Linked DNA regions of Elephas maximus indicus. The protein of the gene in region 2 purifies or fractionates together with the protein of the main gene of each other region. This does not show direct contact. Links are inferred from orthologs where the notes say so. Each region holds a gene or a part of one and is shown on either strand. Other genes may lie near its edges. The genes, in order: DOCK1, RAC1, NCKAP1 and CAV1.

Region 1 (7,912 bases), on a different chromosome or scaffold from region 2:
TGTGCTGTTTCCTCATTTCCACCCAGTTCAGCTGTCTCACCTCCACCTGGTGAAGCTCTGAAGAACAAGCCCCACCCTCTCTACCTGTCACTCAAATCTCTCCCAGAATTTCCTGGCAAAACCATCTGGTATCGTTTTCTTCTGTGGCAGCTCGAACTTCTAAGAGTGAGTTTTCCTAAAACCAAAGTATTAGCAGAAGGTGTGATGTTAGAAATCACTGCTGTGAGTGCTGGAGAAGCTTCTGGAAGGTGTGTGACATGTCTCCCCTGTGAGAAGACCCTGCCTGCTCTACCTGTGAACACTCCCTTTAGACCCCACAAGGTCCTTCCAGTCACCCAGGGAGGCAGCAAAGGGTCTCAAAAGAGCACTTGCAAAATGTCGTGTCCTGAAGATAAGACCCTCGTCCATCTCCTGGTGAGCGCCAGACACAGCCGTAAAGAGAGGTGGTGAGCTCTAGGGCCAGCTGCCAGGGTTCAGATCCAGGACCTACCACTTACAGAGGGCCGTGGCGATTCAGTGGTAGAATTCTTGCCTCCCATCTGGAAGACCCAGGTTCGACTCCCAGCCAACTCTCCTCATGTGCATTGTGTATTCAGTGGAGGCTGGTGTGTCGCAATGATGCTGAACAGGTTTTGTTTCAGCAGAGCTTTAAAACAAAAATAGACTAGGAAGAAAGGCCTGGTGATCTGCTTCTGAAAATCTGCCAGCGAAAACCCTATGGATGACATTTGTCTGATCCACGACCAGCCGCGGCGATGGCGCAGGGCCGGCAGGGTTTTGTTCCGCTGGGCACGGGGCGGCCGTGAGCTGGGGCTATCTGGATGCCGCTACCACAATCACCACAGGCTAAGAATGGGTAAGAAATTTACCATCTTTGCCTCGGGCTCTGCCTCCACCTCCGGACTGAGGTGAGGTTTAAATTCTCTAAGATGACACAAGGGTTAGGCCTCCCCAGTGCCTGGCCCCCCAGGAGGGGTGAGTGACAGCTGCTTCCCGCTTGCACCAGGCCCTCCAGTCAATTCTGACTCACAAGACCCTAGAGGACAGAGTAGAACTGAAGGGTTTCTAAGACTCTAATCTCTACCGTGAGCCCTGTCCTCTAGGGCTGTCCCAGGCAGAATCTCCTCAGAGCAGATCTGGGAGTTTCCGTGAGGACGCCCCCAGACTGTTCAGTCTGGGGGCGCCCAGGGGGTGTGCGCATGCTCAGTCCACAGAGTCAGAAAGCTCCGCCGTGGCCCTTTGTGAACCAGTCTGAGCCTCAGTTCCCTCACCCCCAAAATGGGGTGACAATCAGCCCCCTCGTGAAGAACGAGCCCAGTGTGGGCCCAGAAGGCATGAGACTTGCTCCAGGAAAGGCCCGAGCCACTGTGCACACCCGCTCCATAACCACGGCCCACCGTTGGCCGCTATGACGGAGCAGATAAACTGGGGTTCACAGAGAGTGGGAAGCCCTGAGACTAGAGCCCTCACAGACTGCCCAGAGGTCAAAGGGCCCGGGCCTGAAGCCCAGCAGCAGGAGGCCTGGGCAAGGCAGTCAGGGGTGGGCAGAGCGCCTGCAAGAACAGGGAAAGGGCATGCTGCCGGCGGGCGAGGCCAGAGCTGCAGCAGAGAGCGTGCCCTGCTGGGAGCCCAGACCCTGTGGCTAAGGAGGCAAGATCACAAAGGTCTCACAAGGCAGAGGAGAAGACTGGCGTTGATGAGGCAAGGGATCGGGGACTTCCGTCAGGCAGACAGTGACATTGAACACCACAGGCAGATCTTGGGGTTGGGATCCAGACCGGAAGGCGCGTGGGCACGTCAAGAAGGCCCGGACCCACACGCCTTGGCAAGACCCAGCTGCAAATTCTGGAGAAGGGGCGGGCAGGCATAGTTTGGCGCGGGGTCGGCTTGCTTTGCCATTAAGAAAAAACTCGCTCTCTGGAATGTGTACTCGGGGTCCAAAATGTAAACTTGCAACCCGACACCCCCTGCCCCCCTCAGGAAACAGCAAAGTGCAGCGAAGCAAACACAGGCCTGCGCGCCTAATCCGGGGTCCAAGCCTCAGGGTGCTGGGCTGCGAAGCCTCAAGGGTCCAGCAGGGCCCAGTGCAGGGCCAACCAAATGGCGTGAAGCGGCCATCTGCCCGACAGGGTCGCGCACACCACTCCCCACCAGATGCGAGCAGAATTCTGAGTTTTGATCATTGCAACGTGAAACTGCCCAGCCGGGGCAGATACGGAACACAACTTCATCCAAGAAGCAAAAAAGGCGTCAGGCCAAAGACCCCGGAGATTCCCCGCAGAACTGACCGCTTCGGCCGCAGGCGGCGCGTATACCAGTGAGGGGGGGGCCCTCAGGCTGCAAAGTTCCACCACTGGGTGCCTGAGAGCTGGAGGTGGGGGAGGGAACACCCTCGAGGAGTGACACAAACTGCCCCAACCCTGCGGGCCAAGCCCGGTTCCCGGCCGGTCTACCGGGTCTAGGGGGGACACTGCACGACGAGGGGGCGCGGGAACGGGTGTGCCGGCCCCGGGATCCAGGTAGGGCATTGCCCGCCGGGGTGGCGCCGGCAGGCGGTGTCGCGGCACAAGCTCCAGACGGAAACGCCTCCTCCCGGCCACCCTGCATCCCGCCCGCTCCACTCGAGTGGGGAGGCAACAGGCTCCCGGGCAACCCCGCCCGCCGTCCGCGGCTCGCGCCTGATGGTCACCCCGGGCCGCCCGCCGCACGCCCAGGCGCCCGCCCAGGACCACCCGCCCCGGAGTAAGTTCGGGCAAGTCCCAGCGCGAGCTGCCGGAGCGGGTGCCGGCTCCCAGGGCGGCGGACGCGGGACGCGGGTCACCCGTGCGGCGGCGGGGACGCGGCGACCCGGGGGGCTCAGCCGGTAGCCGCCCGCGCCCGCCCGGCCTGCCTCGGAGCCAAGGCCCGCGCGAAGTTGGGCGGCGCGGTGCTCACCCACGCCATATTTCTCCTCTCTCTTGGTGGGCACCCAGCGCGTCATAGTGCCGCACGGGTCCTGGCACCCCAGGGGCGCGCGCCGCCGAGAGCCGCCGCCGCTGGCCGGACAGGAAACTCCGCGCCTAGGCCGCCATTTTCCATTCCTTTCGAGCCGCGGCAGGATGGGGAGGAAAAAGTTTGTGGCGGAGGCGGTGTCATGTGGGACGGGGCGGGCGGAGCGTCGCCGGCCGGATGGGAAAGGCCCGGAGCGCCGGCAAGAGGCGGGACGGCTGCGGGCTGCGCGCCGCCCTCACGCTCGGACCCGGGCCTCTGCCCTGCCTGCGCCCGCAGACCGGGAACGCAGGGCCGCCGCCCTGCCCGGAGCGCCTCTCCTGAACCCCACCGGCGCCCCCTGCGCCGCACACCGAGCCCCAACCGCTCCTCCTGCCCAGGGACCCAGCTTTATTCCTGTGGTCCCCCTCGTTCACGGCCCACAGACATTCCCAATGGAGCACCCCACGGGGCGTCTTCGTTTCATTCTTGGCTGGATTTCTTTGAATCAGCGAGCCTCCTGGAACTCTTACAAGGAGAAGAGAACTTCCTGAGGGACCGAGTGGAGGTGGGCTCTGAGCGGTTTGCACATGGGCGGGGGGGGGGGAGGCGGGGGTAGGCCTGAGCTGGATGACACAGTGTTTCCAACTGAGGTTCCCCGCCTTGGTGGAGAGTCCCCAAGCAGAGCAAAAGGAGTGGGCACCCTGGGAGGCACCTTCCAGAACACTTGGCTCATTCATTCATTGTTAGGTGCCCTCCATTCGGTTCCCAGTCATAGGGACCCTATACACAACATAAAGAAACCCTGCCCAGCCCTGCCCATCCTCACAATCTTTGCTGTGTTTGAGCCCATTGTTGCGGCCGCTGTGCCAATCCCTCTCGTTAAGGGTCTTCCATATTTTTGCTGACCCTCTACTTTACCAAACATGATGTCCTTCTCCAGGGACTGTTGTGACTCGTTCCTCCAAATAACGTCCAAAGTATATGAGACAAGTCTCACCATCCTCCCTTTTAAGGACCTGTACTTCTTCCAAGACAGATTTGTTTGTTGTTCTGGCTGTCCATGTTATAGTCAATATTCAAAGGCATCAGTTCTTCTTCGGTCTTCCTTATTCGTTGCCCAGCTTTCGCATGCATGTGAAGCAATTGAAAATACCATGGCTTGGGTCAGGAACACCTTAGTCCTCAAAGTGACATCTTTGCTTTTTAACACTTTAAAGAGGTCTTTTGCAGCAGATTTGCCCAATGCAGTACATCCTTTGAGTTTTGACTACTGCTTTCAAGGATGTTAATTATGGATCCAAGTAAAATCCTTGACAACTTCAATCTTTTCTCCATTTATCATGATTGTTGGTCCAGTTGAGAGGACTTTTGTTTTCTTTATGTTGAGGTGTAATCCATACTGAAGGCTGTGGTCTTTGATCTTCATCAGTAAGTGCTTCAAGTCCTCGTCACTTTCAGCAAGCAAGGTTGTGTCATCTGCATATCACAGGTTGTTAGTGAGTTCCTCCAATACCGATGCTCCGTTCTTCTTCATATAGTCCAGCTTCTCGGATTATTTGCTCAGCATAAAGATTGAATAAGTATGGTGAAAGGATACAGCCTTGAAGCACACTTTTCCTGATTTTAAACCATGCAGTGTCCTCTTGTTCTGTTCAAACAACTGCCTCTTGGTCTATGTACAGGTTCCTCATGAGCACAATTAAGTGCTCTGAAATTTCCATCCTTGTTAATGTTATCCACAGTTTGTTATGATCCAAACAGTCAAATGTCTTTGCATAGTCAATAAAACACAGATAAACATCTTCCTGGTATTCTCTGTTTTCAGCCAAGATCCATCTGACATGAGCAATGACATCAGCAATCCCTGGTTCCACGTTTTCTTCTAAATCAAGCCTGAATTTCTGGCAGCTCCCTGTCGATGTACTGCTGCAACTATTTTTTGATTACCTTCAGCAAAATTTTACATTCATGTGATATTAGTGAGGAGACCCTAGGGGCGTAGTGGTTAAGTGCTATGGCTGCTAACCAAAGGGTAGGCAGTTCAAATCCACCAGGTGGTCCTTGGAAACCCTATGGGGCAGTTCTACTCTGTCCTGTAGGATAGCTATGAGTCAGAATTGACTCAATAGCAACGGGTTTTTTTTTTTTTTAATAATGATATTGTTCAATAATTTCCTCATTCAATTGGATCACCTTTCTTTGGAATAGTCATAAATATGGATCTCTTCCAGTTGGTTGGCCAGGTAGCTGTCTTCCAAATTTCTTCACATTGACAAGTGAGCACTTCCAGTGCTGCATCCATTTGTTGAAACATCTCAATTGGTATTCCAGCGATTCCTGGAGCCTTGTTTTTCGCCAGTGCCTTCAGTGCAGCTTGGACCCCTTCCTTCAGTACCATCGATTCTTGATCATATGCTACCTCCTGAAATGGTTGAATTTCTTTTTGGTACAGTAAGTCTGTGTATCCTTTCCATCTTCTTTTGATGCTTCCTGTGTCGATGAATATTTTGCCCATAAAATCCTTCAAAACTGCAACTCAAGACTGGAATTTTTTCTTCAGTTCTTTCAGTGTGAGAAATGCTGGCATGTTCTTCCCTTTTGGTCTTCTAACTCCAGGTCTTTGCACATTTTGTCTTCTGGAACCACCTTGTGAAATCTTCTATTCAGAATCAACTCCATGGTAGTGGGTTTTTTTTTTTTTTCTTTAATTATTTTACTTCATCATTTCTTCCACTTGCTTTCAAAAAATAAAGAAAGAAAGAAACCAAACCCATCGCCATCAAGTTGATTTCGACTCATAGCGACCTTATAGGACAGAGTAGAACTGCCCCATACGGTTTCCAAGGAGCGGCTGGTAGATTCGAACTGCTGACCTTTTGATCAGCAGCTGCCGCTGTTAATCACTACGCCACCAGGCTTTTCATTTGCTTTAGCTACTCGAAATTTAAAGGCAAGTTTCAGAATTTCTTCTGACATTCATATTTGTCTTTTCCTTCTCTCCGGTCTTTTTAATGACCTTTCGCTTTCTTTATGTATGATGTCCTTGATGTCATCCCACAACTTGACTGGTCTTCAGTCATTAGTGTTCAGTGCATCAAATCTGTTTTTGAGATGGTCTCTAAACTCATGTGGGATATATTCAAAATTGTACTTTGGCTCTAGTGGACTTGTTTTAATTTTCTCTAGCTTCAAATTAGACTTCCATATGACAATCGATGGTCTGTTCTACAGTCAGCCTCTTGGCCTTGTTCTGACTGATGATATTGAGCTTCTCCATCATCTCTTCCCACAGGCATAGTCAAGTCGATTCCTGTATATTCCATCTGGGATCCACGTATTTTGTTGTTGGAAAAAGATATTTCCAACAAATAGGAGTTTGGTCTTGCAAAATTCCGTCATGGGAACTCCAGTGTCTTTCTGTGACAAACACTGAGTGCTCGAGTGCTAGGAGCAGAAGACAAGCAAGGCGTGAACTCCACCCCTAAGGCCAGGGTGTGTGGTGGCGGAGGGGAGAGGATGGGTAAAGTAACAAGGCCTGGATAAGTAAACACCACACACTGTCTTGATCCAGGTCAAGGTTGACTCTTAGTGGCTTGCAAAGATACCCAAAGCTGTTGGAAGATGGTTGGAGACACCGTGGCCCACCATCCTGCTGTGAGAGTGCCTGATACCTGCCGTCAAGGTCACCCAGAGCCAGGGAAATCTCAGCATTCCACCCAGAAGGCAGATTAAATAAACACACTGGAATGACTGAGGTGCTTTTCAGTGTTCACCGATGAGGGGAACCAGGCTGTGTGCAAGAAGATAACGTGTGTAGGATGCAGGAGTTCGCAGTAAAGCAACCACCAAGTCATACATAGTTACAGGCCTTGCTCGACTGATAAGGAACTTCAGTCCAACAAAGGGAAGGGGCTGGGCTCGCACCACACATGGTCTCTCTCACCCGCTTGAAGCCTTCTGTGAAAACAGAAACCTCAGGGGCTCAGGTCCTGAACCCACAGCCCAGCGACTGTGGTCCCTTGAAGGAGAAGCAGCGGCAAAGGTGCTACGCAGGAGAAGTAGGGTGCTCGGGGACAAATGATGTGGCCTCACCTAGAGGAGGAATGCCTCCTGAGGAGACGATCCAAGCACAGACTCTAACCATAAAGGGGAACTAAGTAGGTGAACAGGAACCCTGGTGGCTCAATGGTTAAGCACTCAGCTGCTAACCAAAAGGTTGGCAATTCAACACCCCCAGCCTCTCTAGGGAGAAAGGTGTGGCAGTCTGCTTCTATAAAGATTTACAGCATTGGAAACCCTATGGGGCAGTTCTACTCTGTCCTATAGGGTTGCTATGAATCCAACCTGATGACAATGAGTTTGCTTTTACTTTTTTAATTAGGTGAACTGATGAGGGGCCGAACAGCACATGCAAAGGCCCTGAGGTGCTATGGTGCTAATCTTTCAATGAGCTGAAAAGCCAGTATGCCTGAAGCAATGTTGTTGTTGTTGTTAGTGGATTCTGACTCATGGCAACCCCATGCGTGTAGAACAGAAGGAACCTCTGAATGGGTTTGAACCATCAACCTAGTAGTTGAGAGCTTAACCATTTGAGCCAAGCAGGGCAATAGGGACAATAAGACAATAGGAAAACGGCACAAAATGAGGCTGCAGAAGTAGGCAGACCCTTCTAGGTCTTGTTAAGAATTTGGGATTCTCCCAGGAATATGAGGAGGATATGAAATGTGTGACTAACTGCTTCCATGAAAACTGCCCCCTTTGCCATGAAGCCAGAAGTACTGAATGATCCCGGCTACCATTACTGAACATTTTGATCACAGATTTCATAGAAGAATCCCGATCGAAAGGGGGTAAAATACAGAACAGAATTTGAAACTTCCATGGATTCTGGACTTTCTGGAGCCGTTGGGTCTGGATAAACCCCTGAAACTATTGCCCTGAG
Region 2 (7,503 bases):
GGAGAATTTTCTTGAACATTTTCATTGATGATTTCCTCCTTTGCTTTCTCTGTGTTCTTTTTTTGTAGAACTTCCTATTATTAGTATGGTTGGACCTCCTGGGCTGTTTCTAATAATGTTCTTACTATTCCCTCCTCCATTTTTCTATCTTTCTGTCTTTTGGGTCTTTTCGGGAAATTTCCTCAAGTTGATGTTTCAACCTGTCTATTTTTTTCATTTTGCTAGCTTTCTTTTATTTTCCAAGAGTTTTTTTCCCCTTAATCTTCTGAATGTTCTTTTTTTGTAATACAAAAAAAAAAAAAAAATTGCCATAGAGTCAATTCCAAGTCATAGAGACCCCATATATCTTATTTAAATTATATTATTTTATCTGAATATTCTGATAGCTTTAAAAAAAAAAAAAAAGTTCTCTTCTCCCTGCCCTGTTTTTGTTTTCCTCAACTTTATTTTCTAGCTTCCCTTCTGGAGGATTTCCTGAGCTACCTGCTTAGGAGTACAGGCTTGCTGGTGATCCCTCCCCATATTGTATCTGTTTTTCCCGTCTGCGCAAGGCAGGTTCTCCAGAGAAGGGCCCTCCACACTCTTAGGGAAGGGTGTATCTCTTGGGCTTCCTGGAGCCATAGGGGCAAAGTGAAAGCTGGGAGGGACTGAGGTCTCTGCCTAAGGCTACTAAGTTCCTTTGTTTTTGTCTCATTATCTAAAGATTCCCTGGTTCATCTTGTTTTAGAAAGGAATCTCCAGTCTTTTGTAGAGGGGAGGGAAGGTGGCCCCTCTGCTTAGTGCATGGTGGGAGGCAAGGTAGGGGGCTCCAAGCTTCTCAGCTTTCGCCCCATCCTCCTTATCTTTCCCTTCATCCATAAAGACCCAGTGCTGCTGGTTTTGAGCCTCTGATTTTCTGCTACAGAGCTGGTGTGGATCAGCTTTTCTCACTACCAGTCTAGGTCTGTTTCAGGTGGCTAAGTCAGTTGCAACCACTCTGTCCCCTCATCTACTTATCTGGTTTCAGCTTCTGACATCAGGATGTCTTTTTCCCCATTCCCTGTTCCAAGATTCTTTCTTTCTTTCTTTTTAATTCCTTTATTGAAGTTCTTACAAGGTTTTTGGTGGACATGAAATTAGATCTCTGTGATCCACCATCTTAACCTGGAAATGAACTGCACTGTATTGTATATTTACTTGCCCATTATGCACCTCCCCTACTAGAATGTAGATTCTCTGATGATAAGACAGGGCTACAGCCATTTTCTTAAAATTGTTGTCTCCTCAGGACAGCCCCTCACCCAGCCCATTTCCTAAAGTTGTTTTTCTTCTCAGAACTTCTTTGAAAAGAAATAGCCACCGGCTAGCCAAAATCGACCAAAACAGGTCCTGCCCTCCATCTTGGCACTAGAGATAACCTTTAGCTCATTAACTGCCTCATGTGTGGTAAATTCTCTGCACCTGGGTTGAGAGCTAACATGCTAACAAACAAAAATGGCTAACTTCCTCCTCCATGAGGAATTGAACCCAGGACTTAGAAAATGCTTACTCATTTTAAAATGCTCTGTGCCTGCACCATTTTGTATTCTGAAACTAATCTTTCCTATATAAACCAGCCTTTTTTTTTTTAACAAACTGCCCGCCAGGCAGTCTTGGATGGCACAAAGTCGCGACTGTCTTCTTGCTTGCCTTTCCCTCTTCCCAACTCAGTCTCTGTGATTTTGGATGGAGTAGTGCTGAGCAGAACCTGGAGCTCCTAGCAACAATGGCAGGGCTCTGTTTTGTTCATTTCACACTTTCAACGCCTAGACAGTGAATGGAACAGAAGTGGGTGCTCAGGAAATGAGTAAATGAATGACCTTGAATGAAGGACCTAAACAGGGTACAGGATTCCATACACTTGATAAATGAGTTAACCAGGTAGCACGTTCAGAAACACGCATGGTCTAATTGAGTATTTATTTGCTTTTATTAATTTTAATTGGAACTTTTTTTGATCACTTGTTTCTGTGGGGAAAATTATAAGTAGATACTGAAGGAAAAACTTGGAGAAGGGTGATCACTGAGTTTTAAATTAAGAATGATTTTTATATGTGCACTGAACATTAGTTTGGTTGCTTCGCAGTCGAACCTCTTTATAGTGGACTTCTACTTTACCAATCTGGAGAAATAATAATTTGAATTTTATTGTGTCACTTCTTGAATTAATAAAATGAGGAATATAAGAATAAAGTCCAGATTCAATGCAGTTTGTCATCCAGCCTGTGAATACTTCTCTGGATTCGAGACCTGAACAGTGCAAACGCTTGTCTTCTCTGTGTCACATCTGAGGACAGCCTACTCTTCTGCTGGCCATGTAACCTATGAATAAAGTCCTCTCTGTGGAAAACTCTTTTCTTCTTGCTCCATCAATACCCACTAAAAATCCTATCCAAATCCATCTTCCAACTCTCAGCTCAACTGTCATCTCTTTGAAGAAAACCTTTTTGTAGGCATGAATATCTTTTCCATGCTTTGCCTTCTGATAACCACCATACTTGTAATCTACTTATAACAATGAGCACAGTAGGCCTGGTGTCCTGGCAACTATGTCTCTGTCTGGTTTATTTACTACCAGTTCATTACAAAACAACAGCACAACACTGATATTTCTTGAACTGTATTACTGATGAGTCCCCACCCTTTTATCTGGCCCTGGTAACACATGAAGGTAATCATGCTGAGTAGTTAGGTTTGTCAACTAGAAAATTTTTTCAGCAGTGACAGAAAACAGGATGTTGTTTCTCTATCACCTTTGAAATTTCAACTATTCCTCAAGGGTGATCTTTATGAACAGAGCAAAAAGAAGGTGCCCTTTGCCCTGGGAATATGTTTATTTTGAAATAATTGTAAGCCAAAAATGCTTTAAAAATTAAAAAAAATATATACTTGTATTCAAAGGGTCTGATTTCAGAAAACTGGTTCAATACTGGGCAAAAGAGTAAGTCATAGGGAAAGAAGGTCCTACTAAGATGAAAATACAAGTGGAAATTAACTTCTCTGGAGGGTCCACTCTCAAACAGTGCTGATAGGAGTGTAAACTGATTATCAGCTTCCAGGAGGGCAATTCAACTACATGTATGTATAAAAGCTTTAAAAACATTCACAGGTACTGACCCAGTAACTGCATTTATGGTAAAAGTAGTCATGCAAATGGTTAATGAGCTTGGCTGCTAACTGAAAAGTTGGCAGTTCAAGTCCACTCAGAGGCACCTCAGAAGAAAGGCCTGGCAATCTACTCCGGAAAAGTCAGCCCCTGAAAGCCCTATGGGGCATGGCTCTAATCTGACATACATGGGCACACATGGGACTGCCATGAGTCAGAATCGCCTAAACAACAACTGGTTACTGGTAGTCCAAAGAAATAAAACTATAGGAAAACATTCTTCCATAAACACGCTCATTCCAGCATTGTTTATAATAAAGATTAGCGACATTCCAACTGTCCAGTAACAGAAGAATTGGTTAAGTTACGTGGGCATAATAGAATAGCAAGCAGCCATTAACGATGTTCTAACATTGATCTCTCAATTTTATTAAAACCATGTTCTCTATGTACGTACGGAAGACCTGGCGGTGTAATGGTTAAGTTCTACGGCTGCTAACCAAGAGGCTGGCAGTTCAAATCTGCCAGGCGCTCCTTGGAAACTCTATGGGGCAGTTATACTCTGTTCTATAGGGTCGCTATGAGTCAGAATTGACCCGACGGCAGTGGGTTTGGTTCTCTACGTATATAAAAAATTAACTAGGAAATATACCGAACTTTAGTGCTTTGGTATAAAGACAAGGGCATTTTTGTTCAGTTTCATCTCTAGAACTTGGTACAAAACATAGGGCACAGTTGGCCCTCAATACATTTTAAAAATAATACAAGATGATAACACAGAAGAAGAAAATTAAACACTTTCTTTTGCTGAATGAACATGGGTTCTCTCTGAACACTGGTGCGGTGTATGTTTTGATATAGTTTTCGGTTCCGAATTTTCTAGAAAGACCTTAGGTGACTATCACAATAAAATGGATAATAAAAAGTGTGGGCTGGAATCAATACCCTTCAGATGACCTCGGACAGGAGCTGATCTGCGTAAGCGTGGCTCCTGGAACTCAGTGCATCTTTCAATGCCTAAATCCTGGGGGCTGTGCCGAGAAGAATCCCCCACTCCAAGGCCGGTCCCCGAGGCGCAGGGCGCCCCCACAACCTCGACCGGCCAGAGACAGGCTCGTGACCCCAAGATGGCAGCCCTCCCCGCAGCCGCCGCCGAGCGCTTCCGGGCGTTCCCGAGCGTCTCCGAAGCCAAGAGGAGCCCCGCCCGCCAAGCGGCCCTCTGAGGCTCGCCCTGCGGTCGCAGCCGAGCGCTTCCGAGAGCTTCCGGGCGTCTCCGAAGCCCAGAGGAGCCCCCCGGGAGCCGCGCGGGCGGGCCGGCGGGCGCTGCCCCGCCCCGGAGCCTGGGAGCGGCGGCGCCGGCGCGGGGGAGGGGAGGCCGGATGTGAGTGGAGCGGCCATTTCCTGTTTCTCTGCAGTTTTCCTCCAGCTTTGGGTGGTGGCTGCCGCTCGGCTCCGGCTCGCAGTCTGCTGAGCGCAAGGCGGCGTGGACAGCGGCCCCGGCACTTCGCGCCCCGCCGCCCGCAGCTGCGCGCCTGCCCGCCGCGCCCCGCGCCCGCCGCTTCTTGCTTCACCGCGCGGCCGCCGTCGCCTCCCCGCGAGCGGCCCAGATGCAGGCCATCAAGTGTGTGGTGGTGGGAGACGGGTGAGTGCGCGGGGCCGGGCAGGGCGGCCGCGGGCGGGGGTCGGGCCGCGGGCGGGGGGCGGCCCTGGCCGGGGAGGCCGGAGCCGCGGGCTCGCCTAGGGGCCGGGCCCGGCCTCCCCTCCCCGGGCCGGGCGGCGGCGGCGCGGACCCCCTCCCCTCTTCCCGGGACCGGGCTGCGCGGGCCTGGTTCCGCCTTTTTTTGTACGTGGAGGAGGGAATGAGCGCCGGCTGGAGGGAAAGTGAACTCCACCCTCCAGCTCCTGCCCTGCTCCCGGGCCCGCGGTGGGCGCCGGGGCCGGAGTCGCCGAATGCCCAACTCCCCTCCCAGCGCTGCTCCCCACGCTCCCCTTACTTGCCTGTCGGTTAGGTGGGATTTAGAGTCGCCTTTTAAAAAAAAGAAGGACCGTCGGCTTTTATAGGATCCTCTCGTGCCCCATGCACCCCATTGAGCGCTTTCGTGGGCAACAGTGGCCAAGTTAATAATGTTGGATGAATGTTTTCCTGGGCGGGGTTGGCGACCCCAAACTTCTTTGTGATGAGATATCTTCGACTTGCGCTTCGCCGGTTCTAGGGCTTTTAGATGATTATTTTTGCTATTTCTTAGAGAAACTTTTTAAATATATTTCATTTCATTTTGTTGTTGGGAATGTGCGCAGAGCATTCATCAATTCACCAATTTCTACACGTCCCATTCAGTGACATTGATTACATTCTTCGAGTTGTTCAACCATTCCCCCCTCTCCTTTTCTGAGTTGTTCCTCCCTCGTTACCATAAACTTACTGCCCCCTAAGTTTCCCATCTACTCTTTTTGTGCTGCTTTTGTCAATTTGCTCTCTGGGAGAAGCGTTTAAGATTTTAGCTGTGAAGAAAGGAGCTGGGTGTGATTAAGATTGTTCCCTTCGTTGAACATGATGTGGTCCCCCCACCAGAAAAAAAAAAAAAATTGGCCTTCGCTTAATGCGTTAGGTATGGGGTGTAGCAGAACAGGCTGCCAGAGCGGAGCTGCCCTGTGACTCAAGGCATTTCTTTTCATTACTGTCTGGGGGGGTTCCAGGCCCTAGAGGAAGACAAGACTTGTCTTATGCAGGTTTTTTTTCCTCCCATAGAAACAAGACTCTCAGTATAATCCGAGCGGTGTTGTGCGTCTCAGCCTCGCTCGTGTAGTTTGGTGTTAACAGGGAAGCTTGAAAACTCACTACCAGTTTCGTCACGTTCAGAACGCAACTGATACATTCTCAAGTGTGTAGAGTCGAAGGAGACGTTCTGGAGTCACTGATCTTTTAATTAGCGTGCTTCAAACTTGTCATCAGTACTGATTGTGCGTGTATGCCTCTAAGTGAATTTATTAATTCTAAGTTTGACATTTGAAATGATCTCTGTGACAATTGAGATGCAAGAACAATTAGACATTTGATTGACTTGTCGGACTTAGAGGTGAGAAGGGTGTTAATACTTGGTGGTTCTATACATATAACTGAAAATTGTTTCTCTCACTTAAGAATTTGTAAAAATTTTTTGTTTTTCTGTTTTTAAACCTTTTAAAAGCTTTAAGGCCCCTGCGTGGCGTAAACGGTTTGCACTCAGCTGCTAAGCTAAGGGTTGGCCAGTCAAACCCGCTCAGCAGTACCTCAGAAGAAAGGCCTGGCAATCTGCTTCTGTAAATATTTCAGCCAAGAAAACCCTATGACGCAGTTCTACTCTGTAACACATGGTGTCACCCTGAGTCGGAACTGACTCCACGGCAACGAGTTAGGTTTGCTTTCTGTCATTTGACTAAAACACGTTCAGTTAATTGGCTTAAGTGTGAGATCAATAGATTCAGTTAAATGAAGTTTTGATATTTGCATAATGAATTAATTAAACATGTCACTTTTTCTTAGGAACATTTTTAATTATCTGAATTTCCTTTAAAAGTTAGAAATGCTAAATCTATAATGCCTACGACAGCCAAACTCATTGCCACTGAGTCGATTGTTACTTATAGCGACCCTATAGGACAGAGTAGAACTGCCCCATATGGTTTCCAAGGAGCGGCTGGTGGATTCAAACTGCCAACCTTTTGGTTAGCAGCCATAGCAGTACCACAGCTCCCAATACTTTGAATATGAACTAATACATAGTATTTTTTTAAGTCAATGAATTGCTGATAATTCCATATTCAACCATAGGATGTAATATTCTTACCTTAAAATATCAGAAGGGAAACCATAAGTGCTAGCAGATATGTTTAGCTACTATTTGTATTGACTAGTTTATAGTCCAACAACTTATTGACTGCCTACCATGAGATCTGAATCCTCCCTTCAAATCCCTGCCCACCACTTATGGGGTAACCTTGAGCAGATCATTATCCCCCAAGAGAGGTGCCTCAAGGGGAAGTCTCGCGGATTAAACAAGATGCTGTATATTAAGTACCTCCCAGGTGCCTGGCCCCCGGGTGAGTGCTTAGTAGTGCCAGCTTCCATTATTCTTATTTTTGCTGCTTCTGTTACTGTGAGGCACAGCTAGGCTCCGTGAGGGAGTGCTAGGCATAAAACACAGTTCCTGACCTGAGTTTTCAATAAGCCTTCTAATGCTGTACTTGGTATTCTCGATGTTGTAGTCAAGAAGCAATATTAGGCTAAGGCTGAGCAACATTAGAAGTGAAATGTACCTTTACAAAAAACTGAAGCTGTATTACTTGAAATAAGGACTGGTAAGGAGCAAATGGAAACCCTGGTGGCGGTAGTAGTTAAG
Region 3 (7,055 bases), on a different chromosome or scaffold from region 2:
GACAAGAACCGGAGAGGCATTTGATTATACAAAGATGGGAGCTGGGTCCTCAACTAGTGTAACTTTGACATCATGTTGTCCAAGAATTTCTGCCCTCCAAACTCAGGTTCCACTGTCATAACCAAAGCCATATCTAACTGAGTAGGCCATGGTGCCAAATACTCAACTGTAGTTCCTGGTTTGATGGCAAGGCCAACACTTCATATCATGCTCCCGAATGTCTTTAATCAAAGCTCCTGGGTTCTCAGTGGCCTCAGGATGAAAGGTATATTGATTGGACCCTGCTATAGCCACTGGCTTTACCCACTGTTCAGGCCTGGACACCATCATGTGTACGTTAAAGAAAGGGTCCTGGCCTAGCTGCTTTTGGAGGCTTTCTACCACAGGGTGACCAAAGGTGGTGCTGGTAACAAAATGCCTGTCTGTTACATCCAGGTGCAGATAATCAGCTCCAGAGTCCAGCATCTGGAGGCACTCCACCGCTAAATTGGCCAGGCTGCTGTTGAGGATGGACAGGACAATCTTGCAGCCAGACACCATGGTACTGGTTCCTCCCATTTTCTTCTTTTTTAATTATTTTTTGGTTGAGAATATGCACAGTGAAACATACACCAATTCAACAGTTTCTACATGTACAATTCAGTGACATTAATTACATTCTTTGACTTGTGTGACCATTCTCACTCTCCTTTTCTGAGTTGTTCCTCCCTCATTAACTTAAACTCACTGCCCCTTAAGGTTCCTAACTAATCTTTTCAAGATGCTGTTGTCAGTTTGATCCCATATACATAGATCTAAAAGAGCATAATGCTCAAGGCAGACATTCTTTATTAGTTAAGCTAAACCATTGTTTGATTTAAGAAGACTTCAGGGAATATTTTTGGTTTAAGGTTTAGAGATTATCTCAGGGCAATAGTTTCAGGGGTTCATCCAGCCTCCATGGCTCCAGAAAGCCTGGATTTCATGATAATCTAAAATTTTGTTCTGCATTTTGCCTCTTTTGGCCAGGATTCTTCTACACCTGTAAACCCATTGCCATTGAGTCGATTTCAACTCATAGCGACCCTACAGGACAGAGTAGAACTGCCCCATAGGGTTTCCAAGGAGCTCCTGGTAGATTTGAACTGCCTACCTTTTGGTTAGCAGCCGTAACTCTTAACTGCTACGCCACCAGGGTTTCTGGAATCTTCTATAGACTCTTTAATCAAAATGTTCAGTAATGGTAGCTGGGCACCATCCAGTCCTGGTCTCATAGCAGAGGAAGCAGTTGTTCACAGAGGCAATTATCCACACAGCCATTTCTTCCTCCTATTCCTGACCTTCCTTCTCTGTTGCTCCAGGTGAATAGAGACTAATTGTGCCTTGGATGCAGTACCATTTTCATGTTCTCTCTGTACAGTACTTTGAAAAAACTAGAAAATTAGATAACTTTGCACTGGTGGAACTCCATTATTATGTCTCTACTAAAACTGTTTGTGGTGCTATAAAAGAGCACAGTCTTTCCACAACATTTGGCACCTTTCAGTTTTATCTGGCAGCTCCAAACCCCTCACTGCAACATCCCCTTCCAAGGTCTGTTCTTGTTATCCCAGGCTACAGATCATTGCCTTTTCTCTAAATTAAAACTTTAAATATCAGGTTGAAAGAAACCAGATAATTTAAATATCCCAGCACATTAATACTTATTCAGTCTGAATACTGAGCAAATAATCTGAGAAACTGGCTATATGAAGAACGAGGCATCAGGGTTGGAGGAAGAGTCATGAACAATCTGCGATATGCAGATGACACAATATTGCTTGCTTAAAGCGCAGAAGACCTGAAGCACTTAACTGATGAAGATCAAAGACTACAGTTCTCAGTATGAATCACACCTCAACATAAAACAAAAATCCTCATAACTGGACCAATGAGCAACATCATGATAAGCTGCAAAAAGACTGAAGTTGTCAAGGGCTTCATTTTACTTGGATCTACAATCAACACCCATGGAAGCAGCAGTCAAGAAATCAAACATTGGGCATTGGATTGGACCAGTTTGCTGCAAAACATCTCTTTAAAGTGTTAAAAAGCAAAGATGTTACTTTGAGGACTAAGGTGTACCTGACCCAGCCCATGGTATTTTCAATCACCTTATATGCCTGGAAAAGCTGGACAATGAATAAGGAGGACTGAAGGAGAACTGATGCCTTTGAATTATGGTGTTGGCAAGAAATATTGAATCTACTGCCAGAAGAACAAACAAATCTGTCTTGGTAGAAGTACAGTCAGGATGTTTCTTAGAAGTGAGGATGGTGAGACTTTGTCTCCTGTACTTTGCACATGTTATTAGAAGGGACCAGTTTATGGAGAAGACATCATACTTGGTAGAGGGTCAGCAAAAAAGAGGAAGACCCTCAAGAGATGGACTGACACAGTGGCTGCAACAATGGGCTCAAACATAGCAACGATTGTGAGGGTGGTTCAAATGCAGTGTTTCCTTCTATTGTACATAGGGTCTCTGTGAATCAGAATCCACTGGAGGAACACCTAACAAGAACAACACGTTAATGACCTATAACAGTGCATTAGGTGGCATCTCTGAGACGTTTGTTTTAAAAAAAAACAAAACTCTTCAGGTACAAAAATGCAGCTCTAAGTATAGAATTCCAAGCACACTGGTAGGTACCATTATGTATTTTTGTACTTGGTGGGTACAGGGCTCTTTTTAATGCCCTTGAAAACAAGTCCTATGAGTCTCCGAACCGACTCATGGTTCCTAACAACAAAAAAAGTCCATTTAGTCTACTCACTTTCATTTGTTGGGGGTATTAAAATCAGGATTTCCATAGGTATAGTAGATACATTAGCTTTAAAAAAAAGTTTAAGAAGCTATTCATCACAATTTCCTTTTCATAAAGTGTTTTGATAAACCCAATGATAACTTATTTACTCTTTTATTGAAGTTAGCAGAATATTTTGTCATTGGCTTAAAACTAATGAAATAATGCAAAAGATTGATACATGGAAGGGCAGTAAGGCCAAAATCATCAAAGTGGCTCTACTTCTCTAGGCTTGAATCCTCATCCCAGCCAATTACATAAGTCCTTGATTTGTTCACTTTTGAAACCGTATCTGATATATTTGACCAGAGGGAATAGTAGCCTTGAAGTGTGGCTAGGAAACTAGCCAGGAAAAAAAAAGAAACAGAGAGATGGAAAAGTAGAAAGTTTCTGAAAAGCGGTCGGACTTAGGGTGGAGGCCAGGAAAAAATGGGAGCGTTCCTTCACCCACTGAATAAACATTTATTCTGTGCCACCCACGTGTTTCTCGTGGACAAATTCCAGATTCTGATTATCTCAGGAACTTGAGTTGTCCTCACTTCCGATCTCCTCCCGCATAAACTGCTTGGGGCAGGGGTGGTGTGGGGGTGAGTTAGGATGGAATGGGGAGCTTGGGAGAGGCGAAGCCGCTTCGCGGAACACAACATCTGCTGTGTTCTGCGGTGAGCGTCTGTCAAGCAGTGGGAGGAAAGGCGCCTGGAGCCACCAGCCCACTCTCAGGAGAAGCTCATCTGAGACTCCTCCCCGCCCCCCTACTTCTTCTGGTTTCTTTAGGACGATGGCGCAGAAAGACAACTTATGTTGCCACTTTAGGAACTTGAAGGCTGGGGGGTGCTGGAAGCGGCGGGACGCACAGAGAAACGTGACCCTACTCGGTCCCCACTTAGGACTCACATTTGGGGAATAGGCGCAGGCAGCGAGTCGGGTTCAGGTGGGGTCCGGGTCCAGAGTGGCTGCGACTTGGAAGCCTGTCGGGGTAGGCAAGGGCCTGCCTGGCGCAGTTCTCCGACCGTCCTCGCGGGGGCGCCGGCGCGGCCGATCAGGTGACCGAGCGCCCGTCCGGGGCTGCGGGAAGCCGCCTCGTTCTCAGCCGCCGGAGACGCCGCTGCCGCCGCCACACCTAGTGGAGGAGTCGGGGAAGGCGGCTTGGTGGGGGCTGGGACAGAAGGCGGCGGGGGTGGGGACGGAAGGGCGGCGGGCGGAAGGCAGGAGGCTGCCGGGGCGCGGGCTGCTGCGGGGGAAGGGACCCCAAGGCGTCCGCCGCGGCTCGCTCTGTCACCGGCGCGGGGTTGGGACGCTAGGGCCATGGACGCGCTTCCCTGAGGCGGAGGTCGCGGGCGGGAGAGGAGGAGGCCGAAGAGAGGTTACTGCGGAGGCCGCGGGCCAGTGACCGGGCGCCAGCAGGCCGGCGGCGGCGGCGGCACCACCACCATGTCGCGCTCCGTGCTGCAGCCCAGTCAGCAGAAGCTGGCGGAGAAGCTCACCATTCTCAACGACCGGGGGGTCGGCATGCTCACCCGCCTCTACAATATCAAGAAGGTGCGCACGGGCCGGCGAGGCCGCGGCGGGCGGAGGGCCGAGGAGGGATGGAGGGTAGGGGAGGCCTGGAGGGTGCGGGGCGGCGCCGCGGGCAGAAATCCAGCATCGCCGCGTCAGGCCCGGCCCGGAGTCGCCGGGATGTGCCGCGGCCTAACGGGGAGTTCCGGGAGCCTCTCCCGGTGGCTCGCGGGCCGACCGGAGGCAGGGAGAAGCCATTTCCCACTTCCCAGCGGCAGGATCCGGCGCCGGCCCTGGCGTGGGGTGGGGGCGCCGTTGCCCCCTTCTTCGCGCCTCCGCCCCCTGGACGGGGTCGTCAGGAACGGGAGAGAGATGGGTGGGCTAGATTTTCGGAGAATAGGAAAAGTTGGGTGTTCCAAAACAGACGAAACCCTAGAAATCTGGCGGGGATAGCAGTGAACGGGGATTACACCCCACCTCTCAATTTCTTGGTGTGTGGGAATGTGGGAAAGGAATGAATGGCTAATCAACATTAACCTACATTCTTTCTGCTCTGCCAGTTTATTTGAGATTGCTGAATAAAAACCATTTGAGAGGCTGTTGACGATTTGGGATTATTTCATTTTTTGAAGGTGGAGAGGAGGGGGAAGTGAGGGTGGAACCAATTTTCTTCTCAAATACTTCTGGGCTGTGAGTCACTAGAACAGGAATAACAACCTTCTTTCCCTACCCCCTTTACTCCTCCTCATCTGAATTTTTCCAGCCCTATCTGATAATGTTAAAACACCATTTCTTAGACTGTGGTGTCTATACCAAATAAAAATGTAAATATGTTGTGAATTCTGCAGATTTATAGCATAATCAGATAATTTGAGTAGCTAATAGACTCATTGAAAATCTTTACATGTCTTCAGCAAATTTAAGAAATGGGAGGTTGAATTGTAGTTAAGAAAAATAGATGTAATGGTAGAGCAAATATTGCATTCATTTATCTTAGGAGAAAACAACAAAAATCCTTTTCCTTTTTAAAGGTAAGGTTGGTAATTTTTAATGAATGTGGTTAAGAGAAAATTAAAGAGCAATTTTGTTTGCAGTCTAGAGCCTTTGAGTTTCCAGTGTGTATTTGGTGTCATTATCTTCATGGTTATTTTTGCTGGCTTTTTAAAGTACCACGAATATTTTATTTAATCGTAGCAGTAGAATCGCAGCTTTTGTGAGTCTTGGCTGCTGAAGAAAGATTGTGTTTTTCAAAATTCACATCATGGGGTTCAGGTATAAAATTTGAGGTAGATAGTCTACTTCTAAAGGGAAAGATGGTTTTGCTGTAGTTACGATAAATTTTGGATAAGGATTGCTATGGTCCTCCAGTTGCTCACAAGGATGCAAGGATTGACTCTGCACCCAGTGCAGTCTACCTGTGCGGTTTGTTACATTTTATGTGACTGGGGCATAGTGTCATTACAAAGAAGCCCTTTGCATTTACTAAGATGCCTTGGTTATAAATTTATGTACGTTAGGAATAATTTAATTTTAGATAGTATTACTTGTAGGTTGCATTGACTTGAATGTTTTGTGAGATTATACTTTTTAGACAACTCAGAAATTGGTTCCAATACAAACTTTGTCCAAACAACTAGCAATTCAAACTTCAGTAAAGTTACTAGACCTGTGGTATTGTGGTTAAAGGAAATGGTTATGATGGTTTCCAGAAGAGGAAGTGAGAGTAACATCAAAAGTGATTTGGTATTTGGGCAAAACACTTTTTTTTAAAGCATACATTAAACATTTTTATATTATAAATGTAAGCAAACTTACCATATTCTACCATAGTAAATTAGGTAAGGGTAAACTAAAATCTAAAGATCTGAACAGATGACGGTTCACTGTCTTTTCTCAAAAGCAGTTTTTTTTTTTTTACTTCCTGTTTTGAGAAACTTTAGGCTCTTGAAGTAGCAAGATTTAAAATAAGTTGAATGTGATCAGTATTATATCCATGTGTCAAATACCTTGAGTTTTTGAAATGTTGTATTTCAGCACTTAGCACATATTTGTAGTTCATTGGGAAATATTTTATCTACCTTGCCTTAACGTGAGTTCCCTTGGGGCAGGGACAGTGTTATTCATCCCTAAACTACTGGTATTTAGGGTCTCACTTGGTACCTGAGGCCTTTAAGGCCTTGTTGAAATGAATGAATACAAAAAATATATATACCTTGCCCACATTTCAATAATAATAATTTTGGTTTGCTCTCCTTGTGTAACTGCATATAAATGCATTAAAGAAATTTTGGATCTTTTAGCCTCTAGAGTTGCCTGTGAGGCCAGCTTATCTTCTCAGCTGGCTAGGGATTGAAACATTTGTTCCAAAATCTTGCCAAAAACAGTAATATGTGTCCACCATGTGTTCATGCTGTCTGCATTCTTATGACAGTATAAACCACATAATCTTTTCAATCTCAACCTTTATAGTCTTCAAAAAACTACCACCCTATATACATGCCATTCAGTTATCATTCTTTTATTAATGCATATGTACATTAGATTGTCTATCAGATTTGATTAATCTTCACTCCAATTGAAAGTCTACTCTGGAAATATTTTAGCGAGCATGTACAATGAAAAATGCAAACTTCAGTGACCTAAGTCTAATAACACTTTTATAAGTTACTCTAGACAATAATATTATGCTTTAATGCTCATGGAGCCCTGGTGGTACAGTTGTTAAGAGCTTGGCTG
Region 4 (6,932 bases), on a different chromosome or scaffold from region 2:
GTCTTCATACTCCTACCAAGAGGTCAGGCCTTTCCTTGGCCCTCGATGTCCCTCAAAGAAAGCCCTCTGCCAAGGATGGCTTAGGCCCACGATTTCTCAATTCAGATAGATCCAGACAATAAATTCCTCTGACTAGATTTGCTAAAATGGGTCAAAGTTGAATAACATAATAGTAACCAAAAAACTGACCACTGAGCCAGCTATAAGTTTGCGCATAACTTATTCAATCTATTTTTAGTCTTACTAAACATATCCTGAAATTACAAGAAGGAACCCCAACCCCAGTATCCCCTTAGCTCAGGGCAGGCTGACCTGTTAGCCACTAAAGAAGCATCTTTCCATACCTAACGAGGGGTGTCTAGAGGAGAAATCAAGAGGTGCACAGTAGTTTGTTTTTGTAAAGTTGCTTAGCTGTGCACAGGCGCCATGCTTTTCTAGTTGAAATACCCTTCCCTCAATTATAATTATAAATGTAGTATATACAGAAATATATGTGTATGTTTGTATATATATGTGTGTGGAAACCCTGGCGGCCTAGTGGTTAAGTGGTAGCCAAAGGGTCGGCAGTTTGAATCCACCAGGTGCTCCTTGGAAACTCTATGGGACAGTTCTACTCTGTCCTATAGGGTTGTTATGAGTCGGAATCGACTTGAGGGCACTGGATTATATATGTGTGTTGTGTGTGTATATACGTGTATATATACGCAGTAATATATATATTTATATATGTTTTGTTTTTGGGGGGACCTATTTATATATATATATTTTTTTTTATATATTATTCCACTTTATTATTTTTAAGAAAATCACTTCAGGGTATTTAGCAGTGGGCTGCCCATTCTGTATTCTGCTCTCACCTTTGGCACATGACCTTACACAGTTATCTTACTACCTTAATTCCATGTTCGGTGGGTGTCACCCTTCACTAGATTGCACTAGACTCCGACCTGGAAATCGAGAGGGTCTCTTATAACGTGGCCATCTCACCTTCCCAAATAATCTGAGCCTGTCTGTTGCTGAGGTCAGGAGGCTATTTACCAGAAGAAAAGCGCAGTTATATGGGCTACAAAACTCAAGTTAACTAAATTCCAGCTGAACTAAGCAAGGCGGGGGGTGGTGGGGAGGGGGGCGGGGAGGATGTGACATTTCAACATTTCTAACAACCGCACGCGCTCCCACACATCCAGCCTAGAAAACGGCGTGTGTGGCAAAGCTAGAAAAGAACGCACAGGCTGATTGCCAGGGGTGGGCTGTCCAGGCCCTGACAGCGGCCCCTTAGGGACGTCCCCTCCCCTCTTGCCGCCTCCGCTTACCTTGACCACGTCGTCGTTGAGATGCTTGGGGTCGCGATTGACCAGGTCGATCTCCTTGGTGTGTGCGTCGTACACTTGCTTCTCGTGCATCTCCTCTGCCATGTCCCTGTTGTTGGGCTTGTAGATGTTGCCCTGTTCCCGGATGGGAGCGGTATAGAGATGTCCCTGTGGAGCGCGGACGGCCAGGAGGGAGAGGGTGGCACCAGTGGTGGCAAGAGAATTTAAAAAAGAAAAACAAGCGAGCAGAAGTTAACCTGGCTGTGAGGAAAACCTCGAGGATTGAAATCGAACTAACCGCGTCGGCAGCGGCGGCTCCGCGCAGAGTCAACTCTTTGGCGCCGCAAGCTTTTTAAGAGGATCCAGGCGAGGACACCACACCCCTCAGTACCAGGCAGGGAGCGCCAGCCTCCCCCGCCCGCCGCCAGGGGTCAGGGCGAACCCCACGGCCCGGTCCGCCGTGGCCCCCGCCCCGCGCGCACCCTGCGTGCAGTACCCGGTGGAGACCCCTAGCTGGGAGGGGGCCCCCCAGATCTCTGACTTGGCTCCAGCCCCTCTCCCCGTCACACCACCCTCGCCCCGAAGGCTTCACCTGCTCCAATGCCCTTCCCCAGTCCCTCCATAATCCCCGTCTCTCCATAATCCCTTCCAGTTTCATCCTTAAGAGTTTATCCTCATTTTCGTCTTCGCATTTTCGTTGTTTCCTGACAGCTCGCACCTGCCCACGTGCCCCACCCTACCTCTGCCCTCTGTTGACCCCCCCCCCAAGTTTTCCCCTTCCTTTATAGTGGTTACAGTCCCGTATCCCCTCGTCTCTGGGCCGAGCCACGTGCCGAACCCCCGAAATTCCCCATCCGAGCAACATCTCACTCGCACTCCTCCCCCGACCCACCCTCAGGTAACTCCTAGACCGCAGGCCTGTGACTGAACCGCTTGTGCGTTTGGGAAAACGAATTCTCCACACCCGGGAGGATGCGGGACGTGGGGAGGTGGTTGCAAGCGGTGGTGGTAGTGGCGGAGAGCGCGGTCTGCTCCTCTCCAAACACCCCTGCCGGGCGCCAAGATGCAGGAAGAGTTCTTGAGATAGCCCAAGAGCTTTGGAAAGTGCAAATACGGCAAGCGGTCCGGGCGCCTGGCGGGGACTCTCGGGGACTGTCCCCAGGCCTGCGAGTAAACGACCTCCTCCCGCCCTCTCCATCCTCCCGCCCAGTGCTCCAGCTCCCCGCCTCGCAACAGGTAGGGGCCGGTTCGTGGGGGCCCGAGACAAGGGAGCGTCCCAGACACATCCAGAAAATGCGTTCTCGGGCCGGCAGACTCAACCTCAGGACCCCGACCCTCTTTTCCGCGTTCCCCTAGCTCAGAGGCCCCGCTGCCCCCTGCCCCACAGGAAAACTTTCTTGGCTCCTCTTCGCCTCCCCCGCCCAGGTCCATTCCTTAGCCGTGCCAACGCGCGAGGAGTGCCCCAAAGTCAAGAGAGGGCTGGGGCTGGAAAAGCAGCTGGAATATGTGGAGTAGGACATAGCCGGCACAGGTACTACACGTGCGCCCCGCGCCCAGGACCGCAGCCTACCTCGGAATCTACGTATTTGCCCCCAGACATGCTGGCCGGTGGCTGGATGAAGGCTCTCAGGAGGCTTCCCTGGGCTGCGATTTAAGGGAACTGAGGAAGGAAGATCTTGTATTGTATAGAGGGAAAAAAAGGCACTGGCGGCGGGCGGTGGCTGGGAGCGCGCCTCCTGGCCGCGCGCCAGGAGTTTGTTCTGCTCGCGGTTGGCCAGGACGTGCGCGGCGCTGGGTCTAGGCACATCCCCAAAGTTCTGGCAGCAGAGGGCGGGGAGGGCCCGCAGGGAGCGGAGAGCGAGTGGGAAAGCTTGAGCGCGCGGAGGGCTGTTTGGGCAGATGTTTTAAACCTGGGGCAACATTTTCCTAGCTATGAGCCACCGAGAGGCATCTTGAGGACAGCGAATGCTTTCGCAGTGCATCATCCGAGCAAGGGTGGGGGTGCACGCAGCCGACCGGCCTGCAGAGATGCCCAGAATGGGCACTCGAGCCGTCGGAAGGAATTCTCCCCTCTTCCAAGCCCTTTTTCGCCTTGCCCACTTTTCATCGCCTCCTGAGAAACATGGCTCCACCATTCAGAGGAACGGGTGAAGAGTGGCTCGAAACCTTTAGGTGTATTTCACATCGAGACACAAGAAGGAATTTAAGTGGTGCACGTGTGTGTGCTTTTGGTGACACTTGTTTACGTCTAGGCGGCGTGGATAGCAACTTGGATAAACCGGCACGCGCAATTTGATGTTTCACGACCGCTTCTGAAATGTTTCCCAAATGCTTTGAAATGAATACAAATGTTTGACATTTCTCTAATTTTACTACTGCTCTTTTCTTGAACAAAGAAAATTCATGCCAATAGATTATGCCATATTTACAAAATATATACAATATTTAACGGTAAAGAAATGTTTAAAGCTTGGAATTTATTACCAGACAAGAATTTAAAAAAAAAAAAAAAACGTATCGGGCTGTGAGCTAGGGGGAACTTGGGTTTCCTAGTGTTATGGATTGCATTGTGTCCCCCCCCCCAAAAATGTGTGTCGTTTTGCCTAGACCATGATTCCCAGTATTGTGTGATTATTCACCATTTTGTCATCTGATGTGATCGTCCTTTGTGTTGTAAATCCTACCTCTAAGATTTTAATGAGGCGGGATTAACGGCATTATGTTAATAAGGCAGGACTCAATTTACAAGATCAGATTGGCTCTTAAATCAATCTCTTTTGAGATATAAAAGAGAGACTCCGTCAGAGAGACAGGGGATCTCATACCAACGAGAAGCAAGAGCCAGAGGAGCAGCAGTCCTTTGGACCCCATCCCTGCGCTCAGAAGTTCTAGACCAGGTGAAGACTGCTGACAAGGACCTTCCCCCAGAACCTACACAGAGAGAAAAAGCCTTCTCCTGGAGCTGGCACCCTGAATTCGGACTTGTAGCCTCCTAGACTGTGAGACAATAAACTTCTGTTTGTTGTAGCCGCCCACTTGTGGTATTTCTGTTAGAGCAGCACCAGATAACTGAGACACCTAGTAACTGATACGGGAATTTTTAAAAACTTGTCAGCAATTAAAATATTTTATCTGTCCCCCAATTGCGACTTCTCTTTACCTTATCATAAGCAGCACAAGATGAATTAAACTACTCCTCATTTTACTTTTTGGCTATAATAAGACAGGAAATAAACTATCCAAAAATGGAAAGAACTTTTTCCCTAAGGTTACATATGTAATTAAAAGTCAATTATATACGTGTGTATTTACTTCACGTTATAATTGACGTATACATATATATGTCGATTTTCACTTAAGGTAAAAAAGCTGGGAATACACCTAAAAGGTCACAGGTTAATTAAAAACACTGGCAATCTAGAAAGGTAAAAAAGCTGGGAATACACCTAAAAGGTCACAGGTTAATTAAAAACACTGGCAATCTAGAAAGGGGAATAAAGGAGTGGGCAAAAGGAGGAGGAGAAGGGAAGATACAGAATAGAATCATAACAAAGTAGATTATCTAGTTGGAGAGAAAAAGGTATGAACATATGAAAAGGAAACCATAAAGGACAGGCTATTGATGGTAGCAAAAAGACAACACAATATTTAATTAAAAAGATCTATTTCAACCAGGAATATTAGGCAAAGTGTCACGAATGTTGGCATGACTTTCGGTATGCTGGTTATTCATCACTAGAAGGCTGAAGATCTTTTAAAAGTTGGGTTTTCTTCATTTTATTTCTGCCAAATTGCATTTCTAAATTCTTTGAACAAATCATGTGTTAAAGAACATGATATGCTAGCAAAGGATGGTGCCAGGTTTAATATGCTGTGTAGTGACTAGTCTACCTCTACTGATTACTGTTGGCTTAACTCTTTCTTCATAAATATTTGCTACAAAACAGTTGGGGTTATGGTCTATGGAAAAATGTCCAAAGCATTTCCCATCTATTGTTACTCAGTCTTCAGCTGCGGATGAGTAATTTTGACCGTGGGGGGAAAAAATCAAGAGGAACACGGAGAGAGCTTGTCCTGCATTCCAGCAAGGAAAGGACTTTCTTGGGAGGCTGTTGAGTGAATGCTTAACCAGCACTCCACTGAGGGAAAGCCAAGCCTGCTGGGGTAAGTCCACAGAGACGGTGAATTAACAGCTGCAATCGTGATGATCAGTGAAGCGTTGTCAATGCCAAATGAATTCCTAATGAAAGGAAAAACCACAAACTCCTTATTAACCTGCCTCAACAAGAAGCTGGCACCAGAGAGAAACAGATCTAATTCTGGTTATAATAACAAACTTTGAATAATAGCTCCACCTTTATGAGAAAGAAAAGACGAAGAAGAACATTGTTAGCATGAGAACACCATTTGAAATGACTACATGATATAAAAAATAAAAATATTGTTTCTTTGATACTCACACAGATAACTGTATGCTTGGAGGTAAGTTAATAGCTTTCTCCAAATCATTTACTAAGAATTGGGTAGATGGCAACTCATTTCTCATTACTTTTTTTTTTTTAGAAGTAGGATTAAAGGTCAGTTCATGTATCAAAGTTTACGAGAAAAATGTAAGGGACACAGATCAGCTGGTCCAACCATCCTAGAGATGAGGAAAGTGGTATTGAAATATGTTAAACTGTTTGTTCTTTAGAAGGTTTATTGGGTAATGAAACATTTTAAAGTTGATAAATGACAACAGCAGCAGTTAACTTAAGGGATGTATTTGACTATGTACAGCAGTATAAATTTGATGATATTTAAATAGCACAGTAGTATAAATTTGACTGTATTCAAGTAGTATAGTCAGGGCAAAATTCTGACGTGAACTTAGCTGTTTTTGTGTTCTCTCATCTCCTTCTCTGAGCCCGCTTTCCCCCTGTCACGACTTCCTCTTCCCATCCTTCCCATCCTGAGTTCTTTTTTACTTTCCAATCAGTTTCCCTGGAGTTGGCTCCTACTCATGGTGACCCCAGGTGTGTCAGAGTAGAACTGTGCTCCACAGGGTTTTCAATGGCTGATTTTTTGGAAGTAGATCACCAGGCCTTTCTTCCAAGGCTAACCTCGGGGTGGCCTGAAATTTCCAACCTTTTGGTTAGCAGCTGAGTGTCCTTAACTGTTCGCATCACTCCTATGTTCAGCTAAAAAAAAAAAATGTTTAGCTAGCTTCATCTAATTCCCACTCTAGGATTAGGTGATAAGGAGTCCAAGTTTTGACCACTTACAATGGTATTAGTAGTTTTAAGAAACAGATTTCTTTCCAACAATTTCCAAATACGTTTTTGTCAGTTAGTCCAGAAAAGAGATTATAATAGGGGCTATCATGTGGAATGATAGGAAACACCTTTAATAACCAGTATGACAGAGCCACTGATCAGTCATTCTGGACTGTAGCTGTCTTGGAATCCTGCTGGCTAGGCATTAGTCCTTCCTTTAGTTGCTGGATCATGGGGTGCAGGGCTCAGGAGAAGGGCTGCAGGGAGGTGAGGCATTTTGGAGCAGTGACTGTTTACATGAAGGCACATAAATCTGTCCGTATTTTTACAACCTATGTGTTCAGCTGAATCTTTACTCTGTTTGTCA

The links.
Region 1: the proteins of RAC1 (region 2) and DOCK1 purify together in Homo sapiens (pull-down; 6 studies listed by BioGRID and IntAct, with this or other methods). This does not show direct contact. The link is inferred for Elephas maximus indicus from reciprocal best matches to the Homo sapiens genes RAC1 and DOCK1.
Region 3: the proteins of RAC1 (region 2) and NCKAP1 purify together in Homo sapiens (pull-down; 4 studies listed by BioGRID and IntAct, with this or other methods). This does not show direct contact. The link is inferred for Elephas maximus indicus from reciprocal best matches to the Homo sapiens genes RAC1 and NCKAP1.
Region 4: the proteins of RAC1 (region 2) and CAV1 purify together in Homo sapiens (affinity purification with western blotting; 4 studies listed by BioGRID and IntAct, with this or other methods). This does not show direct contact. The link is inferred for Elephas maximus indicus from reciprocal best matches to the Homo sapiens genes RAC1 and CAV1.

The regions. Positions count from the first base shown.
Region 1 is NC_064834.1:76,807,448-76,815,359, reverse strand, and holds the start of DOCK1 (dedicator of cytokinesis protein 1), read right to left. Parts: upstream 2,981-7,912; coding exon 2,935-2,980; coding exon of another isoform or gene 2,796-2,934; intron 2,743-2,795; coding exon of another isoform or gene 2,463-2,742; intron 2,310-2,462; coding exon of another isoform or gene 1,981-2,309; intron 1,785-1,980; coding exon of another isoform or gene 1,697-1,784; intron 1-1,696. Other genes in the region: translation initiation factor IF-2-like, read left to right, coding at 1,697-1,784, 1,981-2,309, 2,463-2,742, 2,796-3,535, 6,263-6,268. UniProt on the Homo sapiens protein: Involved in cytoskeletal rearrangements required for phagocytosis of apoptotic cells and cell motility. Along with DOCK1, mediates CRK/CRKL regulation of epithelial and endothelial cell spreading and migration on type IV collagen.
Region 2 is NC_064830.1:100,915,358-100,922,860, reverse strand, and holds the start of RAC1 (ras-related C3 botulinum toxin substrate 1), read left to right. Parts: upstream 1-4,494; 5' UTR 4,495-4,731; coding exon 4,732-4,766; intron 4,767-7,503. UniProt on the Homo sapiens protein: Plasma membrane-associated small GTPase which cycles between active GTP-bound and inactive GDP-bound states.
Region 3 is NC_064824.1:81,383,296-81,390,350, reverse strand, and holds the start of NCKAP1 (nck-associated protein 1), read left to right. Parts: upstream 1-4,129; 5' UTR 4,130-4,253; coding exon 4,254-4,361; intron 4,362-7,055. Other genes in the region: nematocyst expressed protein 3-like, read right to left, coding at 3,717-4,129. UniProt on the Homo sapiens protein: Part of the WAVE complex that regulates lamellipodia formation. The WAVE complex regulates actin filament reorganization via its interaction with the Arp2/3 complex. Actin remodeling activity is regulated by RAC1.
Region 4 is NC_064826.1:33,195,069-33,202,000, forward strand, and holds the start of CAV1 (caveolin-1), read right to left. Parts: upstream 3,005-6,932; 5' UTR 2,911-3,004; coding exon 2,881-2,910; intron 2,401-2,880; exon of another isoform or gene 2,203-2,400; intron 1,479-2,202; coding exon 1,314-1,478; intron 1-1,313. UniProt on the Homo sapiens protein: May act as a scaffolding protein within caveolar membranes. Forms a stable heterooligomeric complex with CAV2 that targets to lipid rafts and drives caveolae formation. Mediates the recruitment of CAVIN proteins (CAVIN1/2/3/4) to the caveolae.